Callithrix jacchus: one gene and its partner. The protein of the gene in region 2 purifies or fractionates together with the protein of the main gene of each other region. This does not show direct contact. Links are inferred from orthologs where the notes say so. Each region holds a gene or a part of one and is shown on either strand. Other genes may lie near its edges.

What was found.
Region 1: the proteins of CLP1 (region 2) and TSEN15 purify together in Homo sapiens (affinity purification with mass spectrometry; 4 studies listed by BioGRID and IntAct, counting the BioPlex papers as one, with this or other methods). This does not show direct contact. The link is inferred for Callithrix jacchus from reciprocal best matches to the Homo sapiens genes CLP1 and TSEN15.

The regions. Positions count from the first base shown.
Region 1 is NC_133519.1:42,219,804-42,236,219, reverse strand, and holds the start of TSEN15 (tRNA-splicing endonuclease subunit Sen15), read right to left. Parts: upstream 11,257-16,416; 5' UTR 11,225-11,256; coding exon 11,090-11,224; intron 8,617-11,089; coding exon 8,535-8,616; intron 8,232-8,534; coding exon 8,096-8,231; intron 1-8,095. UniProt on the Homo sapiens protein: Non-catalytic subunit of the tRNA-splicing endonuclease complex, a complex responsible for identification and cleavage of the splice sites in pre-tRNA. It cleaves pre-tRNA at the 5' and 3' splice sites to release the intron.
Region 2 is NC_133511.1:115,229,829-115,246,344, reverse strand, and holds CLP1 (polyribonucleotide 5'-hydroxyl-kinase Clp1), read right to left. Parts: upstream 7,312-16,516; 5' UTR 7,213-7,311; intron 7,066-7,212; 5' UTR 6,960-7,065; intron 5,793-6,959; 5' UTR 5,771-5,792; coding exon 5,165-5,770; intron 4,467-5,164; coding exon 3,795-4,466; 3' UTR 3,410-3,794; downstream 1-3,409. UniProt on the Homo sapiens protein: Polynucleotide kinase that can phosphorylate the 5'-hydroxyl groups of double-stranded RNA (dsRNA), single-stranded RNA (ssRNA), double-stranded DNA (dsDNA) and double-stranded DNA:RNA hybrids. dsRNA is phosphorylated more efficiently than dsDNA, and the RNA component of a DNA:RNA hybrid is phosphorylated more efficiently than the DNA component.

The DNA of each region.
Region 1 (16,416 bases), on a different chromosome or scaffold from region 2:
AGTATCTTAACTGATTTTATAATTGTATATATAAGACATTTCACTTTGCTCAGCTTTTTTAAAAAACTTATTATAACCACAGATGAGCTTAAAATATGTCAACTTAGGTTTTCCCACCTCTTGAGGTTTTCCCACCTCTTGTATCTTACTGAAGAAATAAAATTTACATTGGAATTGGGAGATGACATAGGGTCTATGAGGGAAAAAAGAAACCTCTACCAGTAGTTAAAACACTAGGAAACCATTTTTTCCCTTATGATTTAAGTCCCTATATATGTTCCTTAAGATATTTTCCCATTTGCAACAATCTATAGTACTGCTACTATTACAGAAAATTGTAATACTATTATCCTAACTTTGGTATGGTATACTTCTACCATTTAAGGCACTCAACAAACACCAATAGACCCAAGGTGGTCCAAAGTGAAGTTAATCAAACTATCTGAACATAAATTTGACTTCATTTGCAATCTTAGCACTGAAAAACATCAGAGCAAGATTCCATCTCAGAAAGAAAAAATAGGTCACTAGTTTTAATTAGTACTCCTCTTGTTGCCTAATCTTTAAATTCATCAGATCTCTTTGATCTCTGTGTATCTATGAATATGATTTTATACCATTGCTGTGTCTGAGGAAACCGTACCTCTATAGTCATTTACTGAAGGTGCTACACGGATTCCTTAAATTCACTTTAGCAAAGAAACAATCTAGAATACTCTCCATATGGATACCACGCTTAAGTTGTATGGATACACAACTTTATATAGCATTATAATGCAAACTAAAAATTATTTACGCTAGCTTTAGGAAGTATTTTTAGATCAAACAAGAAATACTAGCAATTAATCACTTCATACTCCATCAGCATAATTTTCCTACCAAATAATCAGAAAAAATAATCAGAAATGGGCACTTTACCAATTTTATTCTCCCATCACAGATAAGGAAATAACATTAAATCAATATTTTCATAAGGACTAGTATACACAAGACCTTCTGAAACTTGAAAAATGTGACAAAGTGTTTTAGCTGTGATCACATATTATATGTAACAGCTTTACAGAAAACGCTAATCACAACCTGCACTTGTGCTCAAAGTAATGCATTCACTCACAGTCATTCAAATACACATTTACCCTGTAATGGGATCTGTCTACACTCTTGTCACAAAGTATGTAAACAAAATCACCAGGTCTAAAGCCTGGGAAAGTAAGTGGGAAGCAGATATTAAAAACTGTTCAGGCCTTCTTAGAAAAGCACACAGATATAACATTAAACAGTGCCTAGAATGATTGCCTTTTAAGGAGGCAGAAAATACATATACACCATAAAGTAAATAATAGAATAAACTATATAAATATATATGCCACTCTGCCACTTAACAGTCAATTGGCACTGAAACAGTGAGATTGTTTGTCATCACTAGGGAAATATTTTATAACTAAGTTGTTAACTATGTAATTGACAGAGTTTGGTTCAGTTTTACAAACAACAGATTATAAAAACTGTTTCCTTCAACAAAAGAGACAGTTATCAGGCCTTATGTGCTATAGGCTCTTTGTAAATAAGAAGAAACTGTAGCTCCAGCAAACTACCAACTCCTCACTCTACAGCTATGTATGCTACCCAACTCTCCTACTAATAAAAATGTTATTTAAGGTTTTTAGAGGAATACAAAGTATTTTTTAAAGCACTATATTCAAGCAGCTAAGCAACATAGTCTAAAATGTTGATTTACAACTGGTGTGCTAAGGTTGATTGTACAGTATGTGGCAAGTAATTTATTTCTAACAATAGAGTACTAAAGTTGGCAGGGTATTTTTAAATATAAAACTAATATTCCTGATAATATATTATCAGTCTCATGGCTGACATTCCAACATTCTTTCTTGACTGAGAGTCAAAAGACAAAGTTAGAGCTAAGAGGTCCTGGGAACAATACATGGGCCAAAGCCCATTATTATTATGAAAGAAAAAATAATGGCTACTTTTTTGGGGAAGAAAGATTATGATTGGGATGGGGCACGTTGAAAAGTTAGTGGGATGCCTGGAAAAGTTCTATTTCTTAACTTGGTTATAATTGTAAGAGTTCTAGATGTTTGCCTTATGATAACTCATTAATCTATATATTGGTATTGTGTGGTTTTCTGTATCTGGTTTCATTTACAATAAAATATTTTTAAAAACCAATAAAGCAAAAGAAATTCCAATAGCTATGAGACTAATTGAGATCTTGGTACAGCTCAATTGATCTTTTATTATCTTTTGGAAAAAGTGGGGGTACAAGTAAAAATATACTTTTAACCTCAGCTTTTCGTATGTAAAGTTAGGAGAAAACAAATACCCTATATACCACTAGGGACTTTGGTGCTGACTTAATGAAAGTCTACTTGTTAAAGTATTTTGAATATTTTAAAATACTTTGAAACTCTATAACATTCTCTGCAAATGCAAAGTACTCTTAAAACCACATAGAATAAACAATAATAGTCTCACTTCCTTGCTTAAAGCCCTTCAATGACATCATGCATTTAGTAGTAATTTTCACAATGTTCTTTGTGGAAACCTAAGGCTCCAGAGACATGCTTCAGGTGCAGGGCATCATGTACAGATATGTAGATTGTGCTCTGTGCAAGGGTACCTGGCACAAGTGGATCTAAAATCTGCCCTTCACTGTTTGCCAAGCCTTGAACCTTACTGAAGAGACATTTTTTCTTTGTACGTCAAGAGAGAGCTCCTTTTTCTAAATTGTTCAAAGATACTCTAAGTGCTAGCTGTAGCTCTGTTCAAAAGTTCCCTATTAAACAGTATCTTGTTTTTGTCAAACAATAAAAACAAACTATCTGAAAATTTTCTTCAAAGTTAAGACAAACCAGACAAACACACATATTTATAATTCCTTGATTTACAAACAGATTTGAGCATCTGAGTTCCTCTTCTGTGAGTTGCCTGTTCATATTCTTTGCCCAGGTTTCCCATCGGGAATTGTTTTGAAGTCCCAGAAGCTATTTATATATTCTAAATTAATCTCTGTCAGTTATGCACATGCTATAAATCTTCTCCCAGTATGTGAAAACTTACACATTGTAAGTGTGAATGTAAACTGGTAATAATCCTTTTGGAAACAATTTAGCAATAACCAGTGAAGATGAAGTGACATGCCAGGTGGATTGGCTCACACCTGTAATCCCAGCATTTTGGGAGACCAAGGCAGTCAGACCACTTGAGGTCAAGAGTTCAAGACCAGGCTGGCCAACATGGTAAAACCCCGTTTCTACTACAATACAAAAAATTAGCTGGGTGTGGTGGTGCATGCCTGTAATCCCAGCTACTTAGGAGGCTGAAGCAGGGGAATTGCTTGAACCTGGGAGGCAGAGGTTGCAGTGTGCCAAGACCATGCCAGTGCACTACTGCCTGGGTGACAGAGCCAGACTCTGTCTCCAAAAAAAAAGTCCCAGCTATTCTACCTCTAGGCATCTTCCTTAGGGAAACTCTCATATATGAGTACAAGGAGGTACTCACAAGGCTATTCATTAGAATACCATTAGCAATAGCAAAAAAGTAAAAACAATGATGGTCTTCATAATCTAAATAAGGTTTCACATCTAATTTTCCATCCTTTCCATCTTTTCTCTGAAATTTCACTCATTAATTTATTCATTTGCTGTCTTAAGGAATATTACTAGATACCTACTCTGACGAGACACCATGTTAGGCAGGCAGTTATGCTTAATTACCTGCAGTTGCCCGACTAAACCATGGTCTTTTACTGGCTAAAGAGACTTTTCCTGTCCTTCCTCTGGGTTTTGATGTTACTTTGTATATGTTCCTGTTAAAGTGTTTATCAGTACTCCATTATCCTTGTTATTCAATTATCTAGCTACAAAATAAGTGAAGGCAGTCCCAAATCACACACTGAATTAGATATCTGAACAAAGGGCAATTCTGTGTTTTTAGATTCCATCCAAAAATAGCCAGAAACAATGTATGTTCTAAGCTAATCTTCAGTGCTAGAATACTACTTTCTTGAGGATGTCATGAAAGTACTTGTTCATCATGGTATCCCAGCATCTAGATCATTGCCTGACACATGAGAGTCACTCAATAAACACTTGTTAAGACCAAAAAGCCCAAGCAATATTATCTGACAATAATATTTAAAAGTGAAAACAGAATCACTAATTTATATAGATGCTTTATCACTGAATAAGTAAAAACTGTTTTCATCTTAAATAAAAAGTATTTTTTCTTTCATGGCGAGTTACCCTTACATCTTCTCACCAAATACTTTTAGAACATGTTCCAGTGAATTTCTTTGCAATACAAGGATATCAAAGATTCAAAGTCAATCATTTTCTTCTCTGTGTTACTAACACAGAAAAATTCCCACATTAACTATGAAAGGCTGGAATTGCAGCATTACTATTAGATATATAATATTTTATAACATAAAGTACACTAAAAGTAAAAATAGACAAAAGAATGCCTACTATCTAAAAAATTGTACCTGTTAAAGACTGAGTAATGAAGTCACACATACACACATATACATACACAAAAGTTATTTGAATAGATTGAGTTGAGAAAATGGTATGCCCTAAAAGGCATAATAAATCTAGTATGCATCAGGCCTCATTTGTGCTATTTTCTATATTAGTGTTCTACTGCATAATATAGTTAAGAATATTTATATAAAAACAAGACAAAAAGATTTAAGCTCTCTCAGTGAAATGTAAGAGCATCAAAATGCCTTACCAAATTATCATTCCAACTAATTCTGCTCAAAGAAGAAAACAAGCTTTAGCCATTCAAGCTAGAAAAGCATTAATTACCACTTGGAAAATACTAGAAATTAACAATAGAAACAAATTTGTACTTCTAGACTTATGAAATGATTTTGATTAAAATAGGCTATTGCTTTCATTTCATTAATTTTATTTTTTAGGAATAAATGCAGGTTAATTTCAAATAGTATCTCTTTGTCCAAACAAATAATATAACATTAATACTAGCTAGGACAATATTTGTTACAGTAATTAAAAGACAGAAAGAATAATCTATGAGGAATGAATTAAGACTCTTGGATGTAGGATGGCTTGGAAATCATGCTAGTAAAAACCAGAAGATACTAGTGATTAAATTTGATGTCAACTCTAACAACTCTCTCAAACACACACACACAAAAACTCACAGTAAGGAGCTCCTCAAAGAAGCATATCAATAGTCTGGTATATTAAAAAACAATTATCATTATGAATCATAAATACAAAAAATACTTCATAGAAATATGCAAGTTAGTTTAATATAGCTTTATGAAAAATGCACAATGAAAATAATCAGTTACATTACAGTAGCTTTAATTTGGAAGGGATCTTACATATACTGGTAATCTAAATCCCTCAACAACAACAAAAAGACAAGGAAATGGAAACCCAGAGAAATTAGGTGTGTTGCTAACCATCAAACAAAATGTTAAGTGTCAGTCCCAAGAGTAGAACACAGGTCTTAAGATTTTAGTTTAGGGCTCTTTCTACCAGAATGCTATGCATTCAGTCACAGTCAACTAGAAAAAAAGTAAGTATTCATCAACACTATTCCTGCTGGAATTTAATAATCATCTTATATGCCACCCAACTACAGCTATGTTTTGATATTTCTTCCATACCCCACTTTTGGAGGTTAAGGCTCCCCTCAACATGCTCAATATTTCTCTCTTCCACTATCCTCTTGAATCCATCCTTCCTCATCTCTCAAGAATCTTGATCCATCAATAACTGCCATCTTTTTTCTATTTTCGGACTTTCTACAGGACAGCTCACATGGCAGGTGGCTTCCTTTATAGCAAGTGCAAGAGAGTGCCCAAGACAGAAGCCAGTCTTTTGTAACCTAATCTTAGAAGTGACATCCCATCATTTTTGCCAAATTTTATTCATTAGAAGGAAGTCACTGAGTCTGGGCCACACTCAAGGGAAGAGAGTTACACAAGGGAGCGAATACCAGAATCATGAGAAGCCATCTTAGAAGCTGCCTGCCACAGCTTCTAAAGAAGAAACGCATAGGGAGGCTTGCTAACCAGATACAAGGACTTCTTATGGAGCAAGCAATTAAGAAGATGTGGTATTGGCAAAAGGACAGATAAACTGACTAATGGAATATAACAGTGAACCCAGAGACAAATTAATGCATGTTTAGAACTTTGGAAAACAGCAGAAGTGATATGTCAGATAATGAGCAAAGGAAGGACTATTCAGTAAATGGAAGTAGAAAAAGTGGTTATCCATATGACAATGGTATCCCTAACCTCCTCTCACACCATTAAAAACAACAACAATGGAACTCTTAGTGAAAATATAGGTGAATATTTTTTAGACCTTTAGATAGAAAATATTTCTTAAACTAGACACAAAGATGTTGATTATAAAAGATGGATAAATATAATTATATTCAAATTAAGAACTATTATTAATTAAAAGACACCTTAAAGACAGTGAAAGATTTAAAAACTGGAAAACACAATCAAAAACTATTAATGTCAAGAATATATAAAGATTCATAGAAGTCAATGAGAAAACTAAAGGCAACCCAATAGGCAAAAGAAATGAACAGATGTTTCTTATAAATAATACATATATTAAGAAATATTCAGTATTATGATTGATGAGAGAAAGGCAAATTAAGACCACAATGAGAATAATCCATTCTGTTGGCAAAATTTAAAAGTCTGACAATACTCAACGTAGAGACAATACAGCTCCAAAGGGTCTTGATTACATTGCAGGTGAAAAGTAAATTGAGGCAACCAATTTGAAAATGTTTGAAATTACCTCCTAAAGTCAAACATTAGCAACACTCCATCATCAAGGGAGTGGATGTGAAAATGGTGGTATAATCACACAATGTAATATTATATGGCAGCCCAAAAAAGGCACAACAATGGATGAATTTTAGCAATATAATATTAAGTGTATAAGTTCAGTCATAAAAGACAAGATTTTTAAATTGAAGTTAAAAATATCTAAAATTTAAAAATTCCCAATAAACATGGAATTCAGAATGACAGTTACCTCAGGTCAGTGAGAACATGTTAAGGGACTTACAAGATTAGATGTTAGTTATAGTCAAGAACCTAGTTTTGCTTCGGGTGATGGGTACAGAGATACTTACAACATTATTAAAAATAACTAAGTAAATAAATAAAAACCAAGCATGAACTAATAATGAGAATACGTCATGAAACAAAGACATGTTTAATATAATGCTGTGTACCTAAGCTTTTTAAAAAAAGGTCCCATAAACTACATGAAACTTTCTTTGATTTCAATTAATGTTAATCATGCTCTTTACCAACTCCTATATCAAGTATGACTTCTATTACATGGTATATCTTATAATATCTATTATTTCAAATGTAATGGTCTTGCTTCCTTATCAAGAATATAAATACTTCCATAAGGCTAATATTTCTACCATACATACCGTCTCTGAAAAAGTACTGACCACAGAGTAAGTGCTAAATAAATACTTGTTCAATCCTTGATATACTTTGTATATTTGTTCCTGCCCAAATCCCATGTTGAACTGCCATCCCCAATGTTGAAGGTGGGGCCTGGTGGGAGGTATTTGGGTTATGGGCGTAAATCCCTCATGGCTAGGAGCTGTCTTCAGGACAATGAGTTCTTGTGAGATCTGGCCATTTAAAAGTGTGTGGAACCTCCCCCTCAACACATTCTCTCTCACTCCTGCTTTTGCCATATACGTGCCTGTTCTTGGTTCATCCCCTGCCATGATTATAAGCTTTCTGAGGCCTCCCTAGAAGCCACATAGATGCCAGCAGCATGCTTACTGTAAAGTCCGCAGAACTATGAGTCCCATAAACCTTTTTTTAAAGAAATAAAAAAAAAAAAAAATCTCAGATATTTATAGTAATGCAAGAACGGCTGAATACAACAGTCATATTTAACTTATTCCTCAAATAGCCAAGAGTAAAGCTATGGTTGCTGTATCCCAAACTTCTTTAAAAATACTGTATCGCTACCTTTAATGTTTCCTACTTCTTTACTTGGGAAAGGAACTTAAACCAAAATCACCTGCTCACCTGTTATGGCTGAGGGAAGCAGTGATGGGGGTAGGCACCACAGTCTGTAACCCTTCCCCTTCTATCTCAGTACCAACAAGGCAGATGAGCTGAAGTTCTGGTAATCCTACACAGTTTACTTCATGCCAGCTTTTGCCTGAAAGAGCATCATTGAATGGACAATAATGTTTATTAAAATCAAAAGATAAAAACTCCAAACTTCTGCCTAAAACTCAGCTGAGCAAATATCACTCATAACACTACCTCCTCTCTTTGCTTTTCTAGTAGTTTCTATTACTCAGTAATTCCCAATGTAAATAAATGAAGAAATTACAAAATTAACAGCAAATGCATATAAGATTGCTTATTATAATGTGAAGAATGCTATATATATCCCAATCCAATCCCCCAAACCTCTACCACAGTCCCAATAACAAAACAGTATAAACAAACAACTTACTTTCCATGAGGTCCAGGTAAACCAAGAATGCTATATAAACTTGGGTGGCATCTCCTATATCTAATTCCATCATTTCTAAATACTGAAAATTAAAATATAATTGTCAAATCGAGAAGGAAGAATTGTTTAATATTTTCTTTCAATCAACAAGTAGTCAGTCATTAAGTATATATAATCCATAAAATTCTTCTGGGTATAGTGGAAGTTAAAAGGCAATATAAAATATTATCTCTGTCTCTAAAGAACTTGCGATTGTTAAATACATGCGTACTTAACATTGTTAGGCAAATAACAATATATGACCGTGATTAAAAACCACGTAAATGGAATAAGAAACATGACACGACAGGTCAGAAGAGCTCTACTCAGAGGGACTGGTGAAAGCTTTACAGCAGAGGCAGGATAGGATACAAGTTGAGCACAGAACATTATCATTTGAGTAAATGGAGAAGTTGAGTAATAGTGCAGGTAATCACACAAAGGTGGGATTAAGTCACACGTATTCAAGGGACTGTAAAGAAACCTATCTCCCAGCAATAGAAACCTTTTTAATAAGATTTACGTTGGGACCTATTAGTAGGTACTGTGTATTTCCCTAGCCTCTTATTTATCTGTGGAGAGAGTCTGCCACAGTATCAGTCCTAGCTTCTCTACCCATTCTTTCGCACTTTAAGAGTACGGAATTATTTAATCATTAGATTTTTAAAAGGGGATTGACAAGAAACTAGAGAAAGCTGCTTCTTTCAGACAACTGATCAGCATAAGGGAAACGTGTTTCAGGGGCCTACACCTGCAGAATTCTGAAGCTGCCCAGCTATGCTGGTGACTAGGTGGATATGTGGGGCTAATGCTGAGGTGAAGTACTAGCAGACCTGCATGGGGACAGGTCCTAAGTCACATTCTCCCATCAGCTTCACTGTAACTGCACAGGTACAGGAGGATATGGGTTATTAGTTGTCTACTTCAAACATGTTGGAAAGTGACACTCAAAACATAATTTTGAGCCAGGCTGCAAGGTCTTAAGCTAAACGTGATTTTTGTCATTGAGGAAACACTGAGGATTTCTAAGCAAGAGAATAATAAAAGTGTGTTTGAGGATAATAAATCTGATACCATTTTACTGGATGAACCTATGTAATTTTTGAATGAACAAAAAGGTGAAATTGGAAAAACAAACACCCCCTATTACTTTATTATTTCTTTTCCTTTTCTTTTAAAAATCATTTTGGTCCTTCAAGAAGATAAATCAAAAGGAGAGATTTGATGGTCATGGTGTATGTACACAGCCATTAACTTCAAAATGAAAAAACTCTACAAGTATGTAAACTGAGTAACAACACCAAATCTAGATAAGGTTTTAAAAATTTGTTACTGGTGTTTAACTTATTAAGTGCTTTATAGTGCTTTCTATATGTTGAATGGCTTACAAATATTAACTAATTTAATCCTGTAGCAACCCTGTAAGTATGGACTATTAATATCCCCATTTTTCAGGTGAGGAAACTGAGGCATAATGGGATCAAACAACTTGTCCCAAATCACAAGGTTGATAAGTGACAGAATCAAGATTTAAACTGAGTCTGATTTTGAGTTCATGCTCCTAACCGTTATGCTGTCTCTCCATGCTATTGTTTCTCTTTCATGGCACTAAGTATTTCCATACTATTGTTTCTTTTTCTCACCTTTTGGAAGAATGAAGGGGACGGCATAGGAACATAAAATTAAGCAAGAGAAGCTGAAAAAGGTTAACTCTTTTCAAACATATACCTTCAAATTTTTCCGTTTTTAGACTATTATCTATGAATTATTGCTCTCTAGGAGAAGAGTACAATTCTAATAAAGTATCAGACCAGACCAGTTTTTGAGATTTTTACAAAACTCACATCTCCATTCACTTGTCTATTTACTGCTTGGAACCTTACTGGGACAAGGCAGTAATGTCTCAAGCAGAAGCACGCAGGGGACTATCTTTATCTCCCTTCCTGCTACTGTAGAAAAATACAAGTAAAATGTGAGTAGCTCTGCTTTGGGTAAGAACCTATTCAAACTTTCAAAGAAATCTGAAATATTAGGAATCTGCACCTTTGCAAAATAAAGGTGTACTCTGGACCCAAAGCTAAATGTAAATATGACTGTGCCTAAATCTTTACCATTATGGACCCCTAGAGCTTATCCATCGGCCACAAACTGTCTTGCATGGTTACTGTGAGGATTAAATGAATTCATCCCGGAAAGGGGATTTACCTAGAGAGCAAAACTAATGGAACGCTTCTTAGGAATCTCCGGCTCGAGAGGGGTGGAGTTAATGTCTGGTCCTAGGTTCCAGAATGGCTTCGGTGGCGGGTTGGGGAAGGTGTCGGAACGAATAGTTCAACTAATTTAAACAAACAAAACCGATGCTGCCTGAGGTTGGCAGCTGTGCACACCGGTCCACCTCGGTGAGGGTGGGGCGCATCCTCAGCTCTCGCGCTGAGGGAGAAAGTAAGAGGGCAGCCCGGGAGTTCTGCCTGGGCTAGGGGCCCGGACGGCGTCCTGCTCCTCTCACGCCTCCTGACCTTAGGGTGGGAGCCCATCCAGGCGTCCTCGGGGGCCCACGAGGGAGCTCCGCCGCCGTCGCCAAAGCCGTGAACACCGCCCGGACCCAGGCCGCTGCAGCCGGGGGTCGGCTCGGAATCGCCGCGCTCCTCCATGCAGCCGGTTTGGCACTCCCGTGGTGCACCGCGACCCGTGCCCGGCCAGAAACAGCTGCGCGCGCGCCTGTGGGTTCCGCTTCCTCGAGACTCGCCGTGGTTGCACGAGAAGGCTCTGAATCTGGGAGGAAAGTTGCGTCAGCCCCCCCTTCTGACCAAGGTAGTAAGAACCTGCGCGAACGCTCTCTAGTTTAGTCTCTAGTTTTGCTCTGCGTTTATTCAAATCCGAGCAAGTTCTAGCCTGAAAAATATTCAAGAGTAGCCCGCGCCTGGAAGCTCTTAATCCTCTTTAAGTCAGTGCTGCCTATAGTTCTTTGAGAAAGTTGGGGGATGTATACGTTCTCTTTGCCTTTAACAGTGGGGTCCTGGTTTCTGATTCCTGAGAACCGGAAAAGCCTTACTCAGTGCCTTGACAAAAATCTTTGAAGTAGAACCGTAGTTACAGGCTGGACCCATGTTTCAGTATTAGAGGAAACACGAGTTGCTGAATGAGTGTTCAGAAAGCTAGGATACAAACTGGCACAAGCATGTGATCTGGAAGCCAAGGATGAGGAGTTTCCGGCAGGCAGAGTAGCACATTTTAAGCATTTTTTATTTACTGTGAGCGAAATGGGAAACTGTTGGAGGCTCCTGTTATGTTTTCATAGGATCACTCTGATGTGTTGAGGATGGACTGTAGGGAGCAAGGACATAAACAGGGACTGGTGAGGAGGCTATCGCATTTACCAAGACAAGGATGACTCAAAATCCGAAGTTCCAGGCAGGACAGAAATTCAACTTTCAACCATGATAGGCTAAGACCCTACTGGACCATCCCCAGCAGAAAACAAGTTGAACACAATACAAAAAGCTGAATATACTGGAGAGTGAACAGCAGACTGGTAGGAAGGGCAAGCTTGCTTAAAGATGAGGAACTCCACAAGAACATTCCCCTCTCTGGCATTTAACTTGGGGCTAAGTGCAGTCCAGAAGTTAGGCTCAGCAGCAGCAGCAGCAGCAGCAGCAGCAGCAGCAGCAGCAGCAGCAGCAGCAGCAGGTGTGTGTATATAAAACTTATTGGTTATTCTTATCTGGGGAAGCAGAAAAGTGAAGCCAGAATAGTTTGAATTCCGAAGAGGTTAAGAAATCCCAAGGAAGGATCAGAGAGTGGATCCCCAAACTCTGTCAATCCACATCTCTGAGAGCTCCTGAACCACTCAAAACAGAATCACAGCAGCTCAGTTAAAGACAAAAAATCTGAACTGAGATCAGAGTTGTCTCCAAAGGGAGAGAGTTTGCAGTTAAAATCTAGCCAGAAAAATTACCTACGAATACAAAGGAAATAACACTTATCAGAGAAAAATAATAGAATCCACACTCTCCACTTAACACTCATAAAGTCCAGTATACTATCCCAAATTATCTGACATATGAAATTCAAGAAAATGGATTGCATACTCTAGAGTTTGACCCTGAGATGAATCAGAAGTTGAAACTGACAGATAAGGATTTTAAAGTGACCATTAAAACAATTTCAATGAAGTAAAACATGTTTTCAATGAATGAAAATCTCAAGAGACAAACAGAAAATCTCAGCAAAAAAAGAAAAAAAAAGATTTTTAAAACCAAATAGAAATTCTGAAGATTGAAAATTATAATTTTAAAAATAAAAAAATTAACTGGGTTAATTTAACAGCCAGAAAGAAATTACAGAAGAAAAAGTAGGGAACTTGAAATAGAGCAATATAAATTATTAAAAGTAAACAACAACAAGAAAAATTATCTTTAAAAAGTGAGTAGATCCACAGAGATTTGATTCAACATGCATGTAAATAACAGAAGTAGAAAAAAACAAGGGACAGAAAAAAACTGTTGAAGAAAGAGTGGCCAAAATTTCCCCAAATTTAATGAGAGACATTTGCCAGTACAAAATGCTAAATATACAACAACTAAAATAAACACAAAGAATTCTACATTTTAATCAAACTATTGAAAGTCAAAAAGATAAAGAGAAAAGCTTGAATCCATTAAAAGAAACAACATATCATACACAGGGAAAAGAAGGGCATCTATTATTGAATGAGATGTAAAGTCACACATGAAGATTCATATATTGCCCTCAAATATATTACATTTGAATGAACCTTTGCCTCCACAAAGCAGCTGCAAAACCCGAAAGAGGAAAATGGCACTGAAATTAATAGGGCCATTGAAGCATGAATCACTGAAACACTTGAATAGTGCTTGGAAGTGAATAAATCTGACTCCTAAAGATCCAAATTAGTTCATATGATGGCATTTTTAGAAGCATTAAGAGTGTTTTGTTGCTAATCTGAGTAGGGGAAAAATTTTATAAATCATTAAGGATTTCCAGCGGGATTAGGGACTATGTGAACCAGCCTCAAACATCTTCAGGAGAAGAATTTCAGCTTATGTTCAAGAAAAAAGAAATTGGAGATAGGAAAAACTAGAAGGATGAAGAAAGAACCATAAATCAAAAAAGCAACAGATAAATGCCATCCTTTGGCAAATAGATTAAATACTGTTGCTTAGAAAAAGCATGATACATTCAGGCATAAATATTACATACTTCTGACTTTTAATGTCCTTGTCTATTTAAGAGATGGAGAATGAAAAGGGAGTGTCTCTTAGCTTCCCTGTTAAGCAATGGAAACTGAAGTCTTGGTGATTGGGAATTGCTAAAAGTGAACACAAAGGATTTGGAAACACTTAGACAACCTAGTATTTACAGTGCAGAATCAAATGACTGTTGCAGCAATCTAGAGTGAAATCCCCTAGAGAACAGAGGAGAGTTTCGGTGTCTGGTAACCTGGAGGATTTCTCCTTTTGTAAAATGCTTCAATAGTTCACTTTAGAGAACCAAAGTAGTGAGAAAAAAGGCTAGATAAGAAACAACGAATAAAATCCCCTGAGTGTATTGGATTTAATAAAATTCATTGTAATCTGGCACTTGCTGACCTCATTTCCCAATGATATCCTGAGCCAGACCATTTTATTCCTACAAAAATCTGTAATGTCTAGCCAGAGACATATTAATTCAGTAAGAGTCTCAAGAGGAAATGCGAACATTAAATTGTGATGTGAATCTCTAGTGTGAAAAAAAAGAAGAAAAAGCTTTTTCACACTATTATATGAGACAGTGATCCCATGCTGAAAAATGTTGTCTAGGATTCTGGATTAGCTTTTTCATTCATTGGCTGTAAGGATGCTCATATATATCTTTTTCCTTTTTTTTTGTAACCGACACACACAATTTCCCATTCTCTGTGTTTCAAGAACAGAGAAAGATTCAAGAAAGAGAATAATTCAATATTATAAAGATGGCAATTTCCTCCAAAGTTATTTACAGATTCTAGCAATTCCAATTAAAATCCCAAGAAGGATTTTCTTAATACCTGATAAGCTGATTCTGAAATTTGGGCATAAGGGACCAAAGATAACCAAGACCCTTTTTATGAACAAAAGGAAGGAAACTCTTATGAAGTTAAAATTCTGAAATATAAAATATCTTATAAAGGTAAAGTTTTAAACAAAATTTAAATTCTTGTAAATATATCTAATTACAAGGATGTGACATTGGCACATGGATAGGTAAAACCAACGAAACAAAGTAGGGAGCCAGAAAGCAGACTCATACGAATGTGGGCAGAAGTAACACTGCAGATGCAAGAAGGGAAGGAGAGAGTGTGATTGGCTACATGGCGTGGAGGCAAACACTTTTAAATCTCTAGGAGAGAATATAAAAGAATATTTTATGACCCCAAGAGAGTGATTTCTTAAACAAGACACAAAAAACACAGACCATATGGGAAAAATTTGGCAATATAACTGTATTTCAGTTAAGAATTTCCAACACAGAGAGTGGGGTGAGGGGAAGACATCTGGAACACATAATTGAAAGAAAAGATACCCAGAATCTATAAAGAGCTCCTAAAAATCAATTAGGAATTAAAAAAAAAAACCACTCCTCGGGTTAAAAAAAAAATGAGAATAAACAGAAAAACAGATTAAAAGGCCAGCAAATATGACTTGATGTTCAGCCACATTGATTAAGAAAATGCAAATTGAGGTAAGAAGATACCTTAATTCACCAGATTAGCAACAAAAGCCAAGAGTTGGCATAAAAGTAGACCAAAGGATAGATGCACAAATCCTATGATCCAACAATTATAATCCCAGGTATATATTCTAGAGCAATTTTTTTTTTTTTTTTTTTGAGACGGAGTTTCGCTCTTGTTACCCAGGCTGGAGTGCAATGGCACGATCTCGGCTCACCGCAACCTCCGCCTCCTGGGTTCAGGCAGTTCTCCTGCCTCAGCCTCCAGAGTAGCTGGGATTACAGGCACGTGCCACCGTGCCCAGCTGATTTTTTGTATTTTTAGTAGAGACGGGGTTTCACCATGTTGACCAGGATGGTCTCGATCTCTTGACCTCGTGATCCACCTGCCTCGGCCTCCCAAAGTGCTGGGATTACAGGCTTGAGCCACCATAGAGCAATATTTTTAAATGAAATGCCAGGACCTGTTAGTGGTTGTGAAATAAATTAAGTGGGTTGAGTACAGTTTTTAAGAAGGAATTATGTAAAACATATATAAAGTTTCAATCAACAACTTGAATGAATCTCATAAAAATCTGATGTATAGTCAAACTGTTAGTTATAGAAGAGTATATAAGACATTTGATTTATATAAAATTCAAGTACAGCAGTTTCATTCATAATAACCCAGAAGTAGAAACAACCCGAATGTCTTTCCCTCTGCTGATGAATATATAAAATGATATGTCCATACAGGGGAATATTATTTAGCATTACAAAGGAATAAAGAACTCTGGCTACAACATCAATAAACCTTGAAAACAGTAAGTGAAAGAAGCCAATCACAAGGGATCACATGTTGTAGAATTCCATTTATGTGTAATGTCTAAATTAGGTAAATCTACAGAGACAAAGTAAATTAATGAGAGAGGAGGGTGAGCTGGGAGATATGAGGATTGATCACTAATGAGTATAGGTTTCTTTTTGTGGTAATAAAAATGTACTAAAATTGATTGTGATCATGTTGTATAACTATTAAAACCCTTTGCATTGTATACTTTAAATAGGTGAATTGTGTGGTATTTCAAATGCAGGCAAAACTAACACACATTTAGGAGATGTACTAGAGTTCTCCAGAGAACAGAACCAGAGAGAG
Region 2 (16,516 bases):
CACCTCTTTAGACCATGTGAAAGGTAAATGTAAGGCATTATTGACGATACAATATTGGGATTTTATTTTTTGAGAGAGTCTTGCTCTGTCACCCATGCTGGAGTGCAGTAGCTGGTTCTCAGCTCAGGCAACCTCCTTCTCACAGGTTCAAGCAATTCCCATGCCTCAGCTTCCCAAGTAGTTGAGATCACAGGCGTGCACCATTGCACCTGGCTAATTTTTGTATTTTTAGTAGAGATGGGGTTTCGCCATGTTGGCCAGAGAGGTCTGGAACTCCTGATCTCAAATGATCCTCCTGCCTCGACCTCCCAAAGTGCTGGAATTACAGGCATGAGCCACGGTGCCCAGCCTGATATTGGCATTTTCTGTCTGTAAATCATGTTTCTTTAAGATGAAGTCAGATTTCATTTTTCTGTTCCATATTTTTCTTTGATTTTAGGACTTCCTGATTTCCTCCACTTCACAAATTAGGCATTTTAATTTTCCTTTCAGCTGTCTAATAACTCGTAAACAATGGTGTCTCTTGGCTAAAGTGCTAAATGGGGAAAAAAAATCAGTCTTCCACCATCCAACCAAGCAAACTATCCTGAGATACTAGCTTGATTGCCAGGTGGATGAACACTAACAGAGGTATAATCACTATCCCGAAGTGGAGAGAGAGATTCCACTGGTCCAGTTTTCCTTGGGATCACTTGAAGTATTTCTTGGAAAGAACATTTAATAGAACATAAGGTTTGAAGTGCCAGCTACTTCTGAAAAGTATCCAAAGTAAAATCTGGCTAAAACAGTGGGATATCCAGACCACCCAAAGTTCAAATTACTTTAATATGTTTATCGATTAATACCTTAGAGGTTTTTTGTTTTGTTTTTTGTTGGTGGTTTGTTTTGTTTTGTTTTGTTTTAGTGACAGAGTCTCCCTGTGTCATCCAGGCTGGAGTGCAGTGGTGTGATCTTGGCTCACTGCAACCTGGGCTCAAGTGATTCTCCTTCCTCAGCCTCCCGAGTAGCTGGGATTATAGGCACGCATCACCACACACAGCTAATTTTTGTATTTTTAGTAGAGACAGGGTTTTGTCATGTTGGCCAGGCTGGTCTCAAACTCCTGACCTCAGATGATCCACCTGCTTTGGTCTCCCAAAATGCTGGAAATACCAGCATAAGCCACCACAGCCAGCCTGTTTTGTTTTTCTTTTTTGAGACAGAGTCTGGCACTGTCATCCAGGCTGGAGTGCAGTGGAGCTATCTCAGCTGACTGCAACCTCCCACTTCCATTCTCAAGCAATCCTCTGGCCATTATGTAATAGCCAGAGTTACTTTCCAAAAAAAAAAATGGCCTCAACCTCAGCTTCGTGAGTAGCTGGGACTACAGGTGCATATGCCACCATGGTTTGCTAATTTTTTAAGATTTTTGTTTAGTTGAGGTCTCACTATATATTGCCCAGGCTGGTTTCAAACTGCTAGGTTAAAGCAATCCTCCTACCTCAGTCTTCCAAAGTGCTAGAATTACAGGCATGAGCCACTGCACCTGGCCCTTTATAGTTTTTCTAGTGTAGCTTATCTGCACTTCTTCCAATTGTCTTCACTTGCATTTTCTCACGCCTATAGATGGCAAACCACTGTGTCATTTTTAGTTCAACTCACTAGTAAATAAACATGCAAACAAGAACAAAATGCTGCCTGGGGTTTGTTTAGAAGCAATCAGAGAGGAATGCCCTGCTTTTCAGCAACAAACCAACCAACAATCTTTTTATGTATGTTTGTTCGTTTTTGTTGAAACGGGTTCATTCTTGTCACCCAGGCTGGAGTGCAGTGGCACAACCTAGATCACTTCAACCTCTTCCTCCTGGGTTCAAGCAATTCTCCTGCCTCAGCCTCTGGAATAGCTGGGATTAAAGGTGCCAGCCACCACACCTGGTTAATTTTTGTATTTTTAGCAGAGATGGGGTTTTACCACGTTGGTCATGCTGGTCTTGAACTCCTGACCTCAAGTGATCTGCCCCTCTCGGCCTCCAAAAGTGCTGAGATTAAGGCATGAGCCACCCAACTCAGCCTTTTTTTTTTTTTTTTTTTTTTAAGATGGAGGCTTGCTCTGTCACCCAGGCTGGATATGTGGTGGTGCGATCACAGCTCACTGCAACCTCCACCTCCCAGGTTCAAGCAATTCTCGTGCCTCAGCCTCCCAAGTAGCTGGGACCACAGGTGCACACCACCACACCCAGCTAATTTTTGTATTTTTAGTAGAGACGGGGTTTTACCATGTTGGTCAGGCTGGTCTTGAACTCCTGATCTCAAGTGATCCACCCACCTCGGCCTCCCAAAATGCTGGGATCACAGACATGAGCCACCACACTCGGCTGAGACCCCCATCTCAGAAAAAAAAGGACTGAGACACAGTGTCATTCTGTCACCTAGAATGGAGTGCAGTGATGCAATCTCAGCTTACTGCAACCTCCATCTCTCGGGTTCAAGGGATTCTTGGCCTCCCGAGTGGCTGGGGTTACAGGCATGGCCGCCACCCACTGCACCTAGGCCAAAAATTCCATTCTTCACCCTGAGTTACAAAAGCCCTACATTATCCGGTCCTTGCTGCCCTCTCCATCCTCTGTTTTAGTCTCCCTTAGTTCACTATGCTTCAACCATACTGGATTTTCTCTTCACCAAACTCATCAAGCTTGTTCCTTTATTAGGGTTTTTTTCACCAGGAAGGTTTTGCCCCAGACTTCACACAGCCATTCAAGTCTTAGCCCAAAATGTGTGCTCAGGAAGGGCGTTTCCTAACCACTCAAAGTAGCCTCCATTCACTCTGTCTTAAATCCCCCAAATTGAAGCCTCTCTATAGCACTTGCCTTTTTAAATTTATTCTATAATGTAAGCTCCATAAAACGTTTTTCCTGACAAACAGTAGGTCCTCAGCAAATATTTATGGAAAGAAGGAATCGATGGACAGCATCAGATACTTATTAAGTAATTCAAGTCCAAACCAGGGACACCAAACTAATTTGCAAGAGATCAAAAAGAATGGGCTTTCCCAGCTTCTTACCACCTGAAAGCTCAAGTTACACCTTGACTTAGGGCCTAGTTCCAATCAAATAGACAAGAAGGATAGCTGTACTGGAGAGGAAATGAGCTATCTCTGGAAAATAATTAGATATGAAATCTTATTCCAAGATTATCACCAGCTTCTAACTCCCCATAGTAAATCCAGCACTGACAGCAGATTTACCATTTACCTAAGCGCAGAGGCAAGGGTAACTATCATTAAGAACTCACTTGGCTCACAGGTAGGTTTCTTGGTTTTGCCCTCCTCTAAGCATTTTAGCAATAAATCATTCCAACAATGTTTCTATAATGCTTAGGGGAAAAAAATAAATTACACCAACTTCTATGATATGGCAAAAATATATATTAATTTTTCTAAGTTTGAACTTTATTGGAAAGAGTCCCTCTAATTCACACTTTCATTTTAGATAAATGAGTAAGTACCATATGTGGAATAGAAAGCAGTGATGTTTAAAAACCACATAGTAACACAGTGAAAGAAATGTAATTCTCCAGGGTCTTGGAGAATTCAAAGTGGTATCTTAGGCTAAGAAACCAATTACAGTCTCATGGTTTTCCTTTTGGTTCAAGAATAGAAGAGTCAGGTTACCACTACCTGTTTTTAGAGGTAGAATATATACTTTCTACTAGTCCACAGTTTACTGGTCAGGTGGCCCCAAAAGAGTCTCTCAGCTCATCTGCCTCTAGGATGGCCAGATCTCTAAGTCCCAGGCAGCAAGGCTTCCTGCTGATCTCTACTTTAGATCCATGAAGCGGATGTCCATGATGAGAAGGAAATTCTTAGGCAGTGGGCGGGGGGCTGGAGACAGAACAGTAAACACCTGATGCTCCAGGTCCACACTGGTCACCACAATGAAGCCAGCTACACTTGTCTCAGACAGGTTCTCCTCTGTCCCCTCAGCAGTGCTGACACTCAGTAGGTGGTGCACCATATCTCGGCCAGGAGTGACAGGTACTAGCTTAAGCTGATTATCCTCCTGAGACATGCCCAAAGGTAAACAGGAGTCTGGGATGGTGGGTGCCCCAACTTTGTAGATTTTCACATCTGAAAATTTCACATTGAAAGCATGGGGATAGAAACAGCCTCGAAATCCATAAAAATACTCACGGATACGCTCATCCCTACATTCCCGCCGGAAGTCCTTGGAGCGTTCCACCACACCCCCAGATTTAGGGAGCAGCACGGTGCGTACAAAGTGGGGGAGGTCCCGTTTCAGTTCATTGTACAGTCGTTCTTGATCCAGAACCACAACGACATCCACCTCAAAAGCTGAGGCTGCATGCACCAGAGCCTGATAACCAGAGCCCTTGACCCAGCCACAGGTATTAATGACACAGCCACTCACAGATGCCCTTCTGTTCACTTCACACCTTTGGTTGAACACATCTGCTAAACGAGATGTAATCTGCAAAAGAGAAGATCCAGGTAAGAACAAAAACACCCAGAAAAACCCATGGCTACTTTGTTCCTCTTTAGAATAAGTGCTATTAGACATAAGAAAAATGATTTTTTTTTTTTTTTTTTTTAAAAAGAAGTCTCACTCTGTTGCCCAGGCTGGAGTGCAGTGGCACAATCTCGGCTCACGGCAACCTCTGCCTCATGGGTTCAAATGATTCTCTGACCTCAGCCTCCCGCGTAGCTAGGATTACAGGCATCTGCCACCACGCCCAGCTATTTTTGTATTTTTAGTAAGAGATGAGGGTTCCCCATGTTGGCCAGGCTGATCTCGAACTCCTGACCTCAGGTGATTGACCAGTCTCGGCCTCCCAAAGTGCTGGGATTACAGGCATGAGCTACTGCACCCAGCTTGAAAAATGACATTTCCAATGTTTGTAGTTTTGACCCCATAATATGGATTTAATTTTTATGTTGCTACTTCTGCCTCCTGTTTTACACCCTAGGTGGAAATCTAACAAATTACAAAGAATAGATCCACAGAAATGTTTAACAATCTGAGACTGACTTATATTTGGAACTGCCTTTTCTGAAAGAATGCAGCAGAAACAACAGCTGAGAAAATACAGCTTTAACTAATAAACTTCCCCACAGTTTCCTACGCTGATAACAACCCTTCTCTCCACCCGACCTTTCTCTGGCTCTGACCTTATTATAAAGCTTGATGTTGGTGCCAGGAGTGGTGGAACCAAAATGATACACAAGAGGAGCCTGGATAGAGAAACCCTCTTCCACATCTGCAGGCCGCTCAATGTAGAGGGCCCCCATGGTACCAGGGATGGACACGGAACCCTGGCCCACATCCAGCTCCACATAAGTGGGACGGCGGCCCAAACGCACTGCATAGTTGAGCAGAAGGCGACACACTGTAGACTTGCCCACATCAGTGGGGCCCACTACCATCACTCGGGGGCCTCTCTCTTCTTCCTTTTCTGCTTGCCTCCGCATCTGTTCCAAGGCTGTGTGAGTGTTAAGGTAAAGCAGCATAGGAGTGTCCTTGGAGACATAAGCCACCTCAGTGCGGCCGCTCAGTTGCACAGAACAGCCATGCCAAGTGAAAACAGCCACCTTGGCACCAGCATCAAAGGTGAATTTCTTGTTTCGGGTCAGCTCTGTGCCAAAGATCTCTGCCATGCCAGTCAACAACTCCAACTGAACTGACTGAGATGCCTCCACCTCAAAGCGAAGTTCTGTTTCTCGCTCTAGTTCGAATTTAGTGGTTGGCTTCTTGTCATCATTAGCCTCTTCCCCCATCTCTTCCGTGTAGCTGCTGCACCTAGAACACAAATTAAGTATCAGACCTAATTATAAGTGAGTCCTCTATTAAAAATCATCCAATGTGGCCAGGTGTGGTGGCTCATGCCTGTAATCCCAGCACTTTGGGAAGCCAAGGTGGCTGGATCACTTAAGGTCGGGAGTTCAAGACTAGCCTGGCCAACATGGTGAAACCCCGTCTCTACTAAAAATTTAAAAAAAAATTTTTTTTTAATTAGCCAGGCATGGTGGTGGGTGCCTGTAATCCCAGCTCTTTGGGAAGCCAAGGCAGAAGAATCGCTTGAACCCAGGAGGCAGAGGTTGCAGTGAGCCGAGATTGTTCCACTGCACTGCAGGCTGGGCAACAGAGCAAGACTCTGTCTCAAAAAAAAAAAAAAAAAAATCATCCAATGGGCCGGGCACAGTGTCTCAGGCCTGTAATCCTAGCACTTTGGGAGGCTGAGTTGGGTGGATCCCTTGAGATCACCAGTACAAGACCAGCCTGGGCAATATGGTGAAACCCCGTCTCTACAAAAAAGGTAAAAAGTGGCCAGGTCTGGCAAAAAATGGCTCACCCCTGTAATCGCAGCACTTTGGGAGGCCAAAGCGGGTGGATCACTTGGGGTCAGGAGTTCGAGACCAGCTTGGCCAACATGGCGAAATCTCGTTTTTACTAAAAAATACAAAAGTTAGCCAGCCATGGTGGCAGGCACCTGTAGTCCCAGTTACTTGGGAGGCTGAGGCAGGAGAATCGCTTAAACCCAGGAGGCGGAGGTTACAGGGTTGTAGTGACCCGGTATCTCACCACTGCACTCCTGCCTGGGCAACAGAGCGGGACTCTGTGTCAAAAAAAAAAAAAAAGGAAACAAACCAAAAAACCAAACAAACCAGGCAATGAATATTTCCCCTTACCTTGCTTTAATTCTCTCCATATCTCTTATCACCATCTGTCTCACTATATATTGTGTTTTCCCCGCCCCCACCCCAGAATGTAAGACCTTACCCCCTCCATCACTCTATTGGTAAACGCCTGACTTAAGAATATAACAGATGCCCACACCCCATCCATCTTAGTCAACAGGAAAGGGTGTCTGCAATACGGATGCAAAGCAGAGGACATCAGGTTTGAACGCAGAAAACAGCATAAGCCTCGATTCTGCAACTACTAGTAGTATCTTTAGAGACTCACTTAACTTCTTTGAACCTCTGAAGCTGTCGACTGGAAGCACAATTCCTCAAGTACTGTGTTCTTGGGGTTTATAGGAATTGTGGGAGGAAAAAAAGCACTTCGTAAACTAGAAAACGACAAGGAAATGATACGAATTATTTCTGATCCTGGACCGCAGCTCTAGGTTCGGCATTTGTCCCAACCTCCCCAGACACCAAAACCTCCTTAGACTCCAAGAAGGCGACAGTTGCGTTCCTGCCCTTTTTAAACTCACCTGCACAGCCAGGAGCCCAACAGGTAAACCCAGAAGGTCCTCCCGTGCAGAACTTAAACCAAACTACAAGCGGTTCTTGTCCGTACCCACGCCGGAAACAAACGCAGTTCCGCACTCGCGCTGGGAAAGGACACGCGATAGCGCGCTGCCCCTTGGGACGTGTAGTTTTCCGGAACAACCGAGAGCGGGTGCCCTCTCTCAGCCGCTCGGCCTTCTGGGAGTTGCAGTCAAAGGATTGTTTTGAATGTGACGCCAAAGGTGGGAGGGGCGGCGGCCGACATTGTTCAGGAAGCCGGCGGGGATGGGTGAGGAGGCGTGACCGTTGCGACCCCGCGTTGGGCAGAGACAGGTCCGGGGACCCGGCTTCTGCAGTGAGCGTCAAGCGGCGGGATCTCGCCCCAGAGTTCCTGCTCTCCTGCAGCCCAGAAAAGGGAAGAGCGGCCCGGAAGAGAGGGGGATTCACCGTCTAGGCCCCCAACGGCCTGCTTGCCTGGACAAGCCACGAACCACAAAATCTTGTTTGGGAAGGGGGAAAACTAGGGGTAGGGAAAGCGGAGGAAAACAGCCCGACAGAGGCTGCATGGAGCTGTCATCTCCCACCTGACACAGTGCTTGGCACATGGAAGGCATTTAAACATTTTTTTCTTCAATGAAAAATAAAAATCCGATGATTTCTTCCAGCTACAAATCAGTCATTACCCAATAATCTTCTCTCTCCCACAAAACGAGGATTTTTGTTGGAGACTCATTTGCCTCCATAAATCCCTGACAGTTACAGAAGGTCAGTCTTTTGCTCCGCAGCCAACAGGTTCCACCACGTCTGTAATCCTCTTTTTACTAAATTGGGCTTTGGAATTTTATATTATTTGCTATACTGCTTACATCACTGTGTGACTTTGAGCAAATTACAGGCTTCATCTCACTGAGATCATTTTTTTCTTTTTGTTTTTGAGACAGGGCCTCGGTCTCTCGCCCAGGCTGGAGGACAGTGCCACGAACATGGCTCACTGCAGCCTCGACCTCCTGGGCTCAAGCCTGACCGTTTTTTGTCTGCAAAGTGGGAATAATAACAGTGCCCAACCTCTTAAAGTTGTTTTGACCATTGCAGGATTGTGCCTGTAAAGTGCTAACTACAGGCAAAAATCTGATCTCAGCTTTTACGTTTTTTTTTTTTTATAGGCTGGGGGGAAGGGGCTATAATACCATTCATTGGTGCAATACTTACGGTCTTTCAAACCCTTTCAGGTATCTTCTTTCAAAGCCGCCCTGTAAAGTCAGCTTTCTTGTATACAATTTCAGACGGGGGAGGAGGCTAAGATGGTGCAGGGATTAGCCAAACGAATTCAGTCATTAGTAGAGCTAGGACTCAAACCCAGAGTTTCTGAGTCTGAGTCCAGTTATAATAATAGTAAACATTAAAAAAAAAAGGAAAAAAAAAGTAGACATTTAGGCTGGGTGCGGTGGCTCACACTTGCAATCCTAGAGCGAGACTCCGTTTCACAAAAACACACACACATTTATTATTGTTAGACCTTTTTCAGGCGTAAATTCATTTAATTATCACCAGAATCCTATGCAGTACGTACTGCAATTGTCATCTCCACTTTACAGGTGAGTACTTTTTTCAGTCTGGCTCACGTAGTTAATTCATATTGAGGAGACTGGGAAGATTTTCTGGTTCGCCAGGAAGATTTTCTTCTGCTGGCCCTACTTAGCAACACTCCCCAAGCAGTGCTATCCTCACATGTCACTTCCGAGTTTTCTCTGATGGTTTGCTTTAATTATTTCATTCATTCAACATGTATGCATTAGGTTTTGTTGTTGTTGTTTGAAATGGAGTTTTGCTCTGTGGCCCAGCCTGGAGTGCTGTGGCACGATCTCGGCTCACGGCAACCTCTGCCTCCAGGGTTTAAGCAATTCTCCTGCCTCAGCCTCCCGAGTAGTGGGATGACAGGTGTGCATCACCATGCCCGGCTAATTTTTGTATTTTTGGTAGAGACGAGGTTTCACCATATTGGCCAGGCTGACCTCAAGTGATCCACCCAGTTTGGCCTCCCAAAGTGCTGGGATTACAGGTGTGAGCCTCCTCGCCCAGCTCTTTTTCTCACTTTTAATCTTTCAGCAAGCACTCCTGCCATTTCTGCCCCACCCCCGAACAATACTGTCATCAAAATGTTCATATTCTCCTCTCCTGCTAGATTCTTGATCATGTTTCCTGAGTTGATTTAAATTCATTGGTATCCTTGCTTCCAAATTTTCTTTTTAAAAAAAGTTTTTTAAGACATAGTTTTGCTCTTGTTGCCCAGGCTGGAGTGAAGTGGCTCAATTTCGGCTTACTACAGGCTGCACCTCCCAGGTTCAAGCAATTCTCCAGCCTCAGTTTCCTGAGTAGCTGGGATTACAGGTGCCTGCCACCAGGCCCAGATAATTTTTGCATTTTAGTAGAGACGGGGTTTTGTCATGTTAGCCGGACTGGTCTGGAACTCTTTACCTTAGGTGATCTGCCTGCCTCAGCCTCCCAAAGTTCTGGGATTACAGGCCTGAGCAACTGCACCCAGCCTGCTTCCAAACTTTCAATCCCGGCTGGGCCCTGTGGCTCTGCCTATAATCCCAGCACGTGGGGAAGGCAAGGCAGGCGGGTCACTTGAAGTCAGGAATTCAAGACTGGCCTGACCAACATGTTGAAACCCCATCTCTACTAAAAATACAAAAATTACCTGGGTGTGGTGGTGCATGCTTGTAATCCCAGCTACTTGGGAGACTGAGGTGGGAGACTTGCTTAAACCTGGAAGACGTTGCAGTGATTTGAGATCTCTCCATTGCACTCCAGCCTGGGCAACAGAAGAAGACTCCGTTTCAAGAAGAAGAAGAAAAAAAAGAAGGACTGGGCGCAGTGGCTCAAGCCTGTAATCCCAGCACTTTGGGAGGCTGAGGCAGGTGGATCATGAGGCCAAGAGAATGAGACCATCCTGGTCAACATGGTGAAAACCCCGTCTCTACTAAAAATACAAAAAATTATACGGGCATGGTGGCACGTGCCTGTAATCCCAGCTACTCAGGAGGCTGAGGCAGAAGAACTGCCTGAACCCAGGAGGCGGAGGTTGCGGTGAGCCGAGATCGCGCCATTGCACTCCAGCCTGGGTAACAAGAGTGAAACTCCGTCTCAAAAAAAGAAAAAGAACTTTCAATCCATGCCCTGAAAACTAATCATCTGCCTTTTCCCACTTCTCATTGTTCTCTTCAACAATGGCTCTTCAAATTTCTACTTTTATTTCCTTTCTCTTCTGCTGCCCAGACAAGAGAGCACTTCTCGCTGCTTTCTTTACCTAGCTTTTTTTCTCAATTTCACACCTGGTACTCCCTCAAGATACCCACGTTGTCTTTTCAGATTTACTTTAAACCCCAGAATCTTCCCTGATTAAATATTTAGAATACCTTTTTATTTTCATGCTCAACCAGCAATGTCTCCCATTACCCACATTTCCCTGCCTTACATGTGAGAAGAAAAACAAACCACCCACAAGCACTGCTTTCTACAAGTCCCTATCTGTGTCGCATTTCACTTGCTAAATGCTAGCCTCTGTTAGAAATCAGGGATTTTGTCTTAGGGGATGTGTTTTGTGTTCACATACTTTAGTAACATGCACAGGACAGCACCCCATGAGAAATGAATTCTGAGTCAAATGAAATTCAACTGGAAGCTACTAGAAAAGTAGCAACAAAAGATGTCATTTCTTCATAAGACAAAAATTTAGCATGTGTCTCTTGAGATATCAGAATTTAATAATAAATCCTCCCTGGGTTTTGGGGGTCATACATTGAGAATACTGTTTTGGTTTCCTTCTTTCTTTCTTTCCTTCCTTCCTTCTTTCTTTTCCTTTCTTTCCTTTATTTGCTTTTCTTTCTGATGGAGTCTTGCTGTGTCATCTGGCTAGAGTGCAGTGGCGCAATCTCGGCTCACTGCAACCTCAGCCTTCCAGGTTCACGAGATTCTCCTGCCTCAGCCTCCCAAGTAGTAGCAGCTGGGACTACAGGTGCACGCCACCACACCCAGCTGATGTTTGTATTTTCAGTAGAGACGGGGTTTCACCATGTTAACCAGGACGTGCCCAGCCAGTTTTTGTTTTGAAGGAATCTCCTTTTATTGCAACCTCTGCCTCCTGGGTTCAAGTGATTCTGCTGCCCCAGCCTCCTGAGTAGCTAGGATTACAGGCACATGCCACCATGCCTAATATTTTTGTATTTTTAGTGGGGGGGGGGGGGGTTCACCATATTAGCCAGGCTGGTCTTGAACTCCTCACCTCAGGCAATCTGCCCGCTTCAGCCTCCCAAAGTGCTGGGATTACAGGCGTGAGCCACCCTAGAACGCTGTTTGAAATGACACTACTGTTTACTGCCTATCATGCGCCAGAGGCTTTTCAGGCATTTAAATGTTATCTCACTTTAGTTTGCATCTCCAGGAAGTAAATATTATTAGCTTCATTTAGCAGAAGAGGAAGACTGAGGCACAAAGATTATCAGTAATTTGCCTAGTGGTTCCTGCTGAGTAATTAGCAGAGCTAAGATCCTAATTCAGTCTCTTTGAGACCAAAGCCAGACACTTGGTTCTTGTCTGAAGATGCAACTCAACTGCTGTATTAATCAGTGTTCTCCAGAGGGACAGAGCTAATAGGATAGATGTATATATAAATGGGAGTTATTAAGGAATATTGACTCAGATGATCACAAGGTGAGGTTCCACAACAGGCTGCCTGCAAGCTGAGGAGCAAGGAAGCCAGTCCGAATCCCAAAGCCCAAGCACTTGGAGTTCGAGGGCAGGAAGCCTCCAGCACAGGAGAAAGATGTAGGCTCAGAGGCTAAGCCAGTCTAGACTTTCCATGTTCTTCTATCTGCTTTTATTCTGGCCAAGCTGGCAGTTGATTAGACTGTGCCCGCGCAGATTGAGGATGGGTCTGCCTTTCCCAGTCCATTGATTCAAATGTTAATCTCCTTTGGCAGTACCCTCTTAGACACACCCCAGAACAATACCACAACCCAGTCAAGTTGACAATATTAACCAGCACAAGTCCACCTCTTGTCAACTTAAACGCATACACGTCTCCTGAAATCGTACATAATCTTCAGATAAAGACTATAATAAGGTCATAATTCTCTTAACATTATACAGCTATCCTTCATACAACCGGAAACACACCAGTCCCCAACCCAAATACTATTAAATAGAGATAACAACACTTAAATGTTGACATGAAGTCAGTAAGTCCTATCACGATAAAGGCAAAAAAGAAAAGTAAAATGGAGATATTTTCTTAGTACAAGTGTATATATGCACAAACATGTTCGTACCACAAGAAGGAAATATTCATGACAATTACGGTCCCCGGTTCTGCAGGTGGTCACATGGTCGTAGCTGGTATTGATGACTACCTTCTTCTACTACCCATTCTGTATTCCCTTTGCCTTCAGCAAGCACCTCAGCAGGTTGTGGTTTTTTACCTGGTGGGGTGACCCAAACCTTCATTCCTGAAGGGTCTGGGTCGTTTGCAGTCCTGCCTGGATTGGGCTGTTGTAGTTTCCATTGACCTTACTCACAGGGCATGGTAATACTAAGAGACACCTTAATGGATCTCCTGTATTCCACGCATGCTCTTCCTTACCTCCATTGTGGAGTAGTAGACTGATTTCATCTTGACAGTCTGGGTCAGTCACCCCAACCAACACTGTAATTCCCTTACTAGCCTGTTGACTTAAAGTAAGAAGAGCCCAAAGTATCCAAGTGGCAATCCTAACTTCCAGTTTAATGGAATCGTTGTTGTGTCTCCCGGTGGCAGCGTTCCTCCCTCTGGAACTAAGACCTCTAGGCCAGCAGAAAATAATGTCGTGGGAAGAACTGCTGTTTTGGAAACATGTACATGCAAGGGTCTGTAGTAGGCATTGCAGTCCTGGAATGTAGAGAGTGATTTCCCAGAAGACCTGTCTCAGAAAGTTTACAGCCCAGAAGAGAACTTCATATAATGTAGGTGTCTCCATTCATGAAGCACTCATAATTTGGAGGTAGCCAATAAGAGGTTTCTGCATGTAAAATGTCACATTGGGTCTATGACTCCTTTAAGAGTATTAAACCGAAGCTTTGAGGCTTGCTACAAGTTTGGGGGCACAGTTTGCCGTCCACGACAATTAGTACATCTGTCTTTTCCCTGCTTCGGGGCTGGTGTCCAAGATGAAATGGGAAAGTGTATCATCTTAAATGTGTGTGTGCTGCCTCCCTCTGCATCCATCTCTTGCTTCGCCAGCCTTGCCACCTCCTTTCCTCCAGCCCTGCCTCCCTCCCTGCATCCTTGCCCAGCCCCGTCCTCCCCCCAGGTTCTTCCTATCTCCTTGGCCACACTGCCTTCCTCCCTAACAACCTGCCTCTCCCCTTGCCCACCATCGAAGCCACATCCCTCTGTCAGCACTCCTCTAGCCCCATCCCTTGAAGCCTGCCCCCTCCCTCCCTTCCTTCCGACCCGCCTCCTGTGTCTCCCAGCCCTGCTCTGACGTGGGAGGTGAGGGGGGGTGGGGGGATGGATGACTCACAGTGTTATGATGCAGTTCCACAACACACAGCCACATTCACCCACAGACCGAGGTACAGAACGAGAGACAACCTCTGCCCCCCCAGCAGCTGGCCAGCTTTGCAGCCCAGTCTTGAGCCCCCAACTACCCTCCCCCCACCTGTCCCCATCCCCTTCCCAATTGAAGGAGCGGAAAGAGAAGAGAGAAGAGTGAGCAGAGAGATTGAGAGATTGAGAGAGAGAGAGATAGACGGAGATCTCTGGAGCAGACCTCAAGGTGAGGGGGCAGCCCTTCTCCAAATGAATTTTTTTTCCTTTTGCAAATTTCCTCCTCCTGCTGCGTGTTGCTTTCTCCCCTTTGCAAAAGCATTATTCATCCACCCTTTGTCCTCCCTTCCCCCCTCCCCGCTGCCTCCACTCCTCTCTCTCGGTTCCTTCATCCCTCTCCAAGCTCTCTCCAAGCGCTGACGATTCCCGCACTTATTTCTCCGCAACTCTGGCTGCACCATCAGGCATCACTGTTTATTGTTTTGCTGCTGGTGCAGACCCCCAAAGCCCGCCCTGGGAGCTGGCGGTGCTGCTAATTATCTGGACCATACCATACTGAGAATACCAGCCTGGGGGGTGCCAAAACCTCAGAGCAGATGAGAAAATCCATTGTGAGCAGGTGTCCCCCTCCCTTCCCCATCCCCCGCCCTTCCGGGAGGCACGAGATTCGCACCTGGTTCCTCCAGCCTCCGCCTCGGTGTCTCTGCTGTCAGCTGTCAGTTGCCCCCGCCAGCCCTCCCTCTCCCCTTCCTCCCACGGTCCAGCCCCGTCTCATTTCAGGGGAACATCCTCTCCCCAGGCCTCGGCTTGCCTTTGTTTTTTCTCCAGTCATTTGCCCAACTTGCTTCTCTCTATGATCTGAGACGGACGAGAAAATGACCCCTACTCCCCTTTCTGTGATTCTCTGGCCTTCTGCGCAGCCTCTCCTTGGCTCGACTGGGAAGTAGGGGAGAGGGAGGGAGGCGTGACGGCTGGAGGCTGGAGAAGGAGTCCAAGCTTGGGGACCCGCGCTGCCCGGTTCCCCATGCCCCTTGAAGAAGGTATTTCAAGGTGGTGCGTGTCAGAGGGGAACCCGCAGGCAAAGTTGGAGGCAGACCTGTGAAGAAGAGACTGAAGGGGTGGTCTCCTGGCAAGGAGGGCCTGTTTGCTGCAGCTGGAGCCCAATGTCACCCCGAACTCTGCCCAAGGTGTCTTCCTGGGGCCCAGCCAGGAGGAAAGAACCTGGAGCTGAAGATAGTCTCTATGGAGGTTTTGCGGAGAGACTGCCTGGCAGCCTTCAGAGAGAGAGAAACAGCTGGGTGCTTGTGCCACTGCAGAGGACAGGACGAGGAGAGCCTGTATGCTCTGGCTAACCGGAGCCAACGCTGCCTCTTCTCTGCTCAGCTCCGGCATTGCCAGAGCGCCCAGCTGGCATCTCTGAACCAGACTTAGGCTAACCAGCCACAGCGGGCTGGGAAGCCCCACGGAGAAAGCAGCAGCTCACCTGCTTATCAGAGCCGACAGGGGCAACCTCCCTCCTTATCCTCTGCCTCCAGCACCCTCAGCCACTCGGAGGCTGGTGTGTGGGCAGAACGCAATCTTCCTCAAGATTCCTAATCAGAACCCAGCAATTACTTCATCTTCAGTCACCCACAGAGTCATTGCTTTTTGTCCCTGCCTCGGGGAGAAGGTAGAAAGAAACATTTTCTGCCTCATGCCCCAAAGCGCAGCTGTTTAAGGGTCCCCCTTCTGCCGCTGGTTGTGGCCTTTGCTCTCACACTATCACACAGCCCTGCCCAGCCCAGGAATCAGGCTTCGCCGACACGCTACTCGTTTTCCATTGGCTCCAGCTGTCAGATTGCCTGAAGGAAATGTATTTTCTGCCTAAGTCTTTAATCAAGGGCTAAGGCCACAGTTAGTAAAGAATAGGAGAAAGACCTAGGGGCCCAGAGGCTGGGAAGATGGTCAAGTGCTTATTCTGGGCCAGAATGAATGAACTAAGGTGTGGGAACTGGCGGCCACATGTGAGGTCTTTGGGACTGTTGGAAACATCTGTAAAGTTCTAGTGAAGAGTCCCAGAGTGCAGGATCCTGACCTTGGGAGAGAGCTGAATTAGGGTTTGTATACCTGCCTGCATGCTCCTCCTCCCTCAACTTACCCTAGCCTCCCCCACACAACGTATAAAGGACCGATTGTATTGTAAACGAAGGCCAAGGAAAAGAAAGACCTTCAGGCATCCCCAACTCTTAAAAGGCTCTGATCCCGAGACGCGGTGCCTACCGATGCCGGTGCGACGAAGAGCCTCACGAAGAACTGAAAAGCAAGGAGAGGCCACTGGCAGATGACGTTGCTCCCATGGCAGCGTTTGTGCCCATGGGCTGCTCTCTGTGGAAAATGGTGGAGGCTGCTTCTGCCCCTGGAGGGAGAAACACTGAATCCCTGGCTTTGGCGCCAGAAGGCTGAACCAGCTGCCAGGTTTGCCAGAACAGAATGGGGATCCAGGGGACAGGGCAACAATGCAACTGGATGCCAAGGGGGGGGTCGATGGCAATGGGGGACTTAGAGGTATGGGGGAGCTGAGCCCCTTTTCCTCCAGTCCCTCTGGACGGGTCCGCATGAGGTCACAGCTCCCCTGAAGTACCTTTCCCTCTTCCCAGGTGACTTCTATTTCTATCTGGTTCTCGTCTGGGGGGGCCCTGGCCGGGCAGCCCCCCAACATTTCT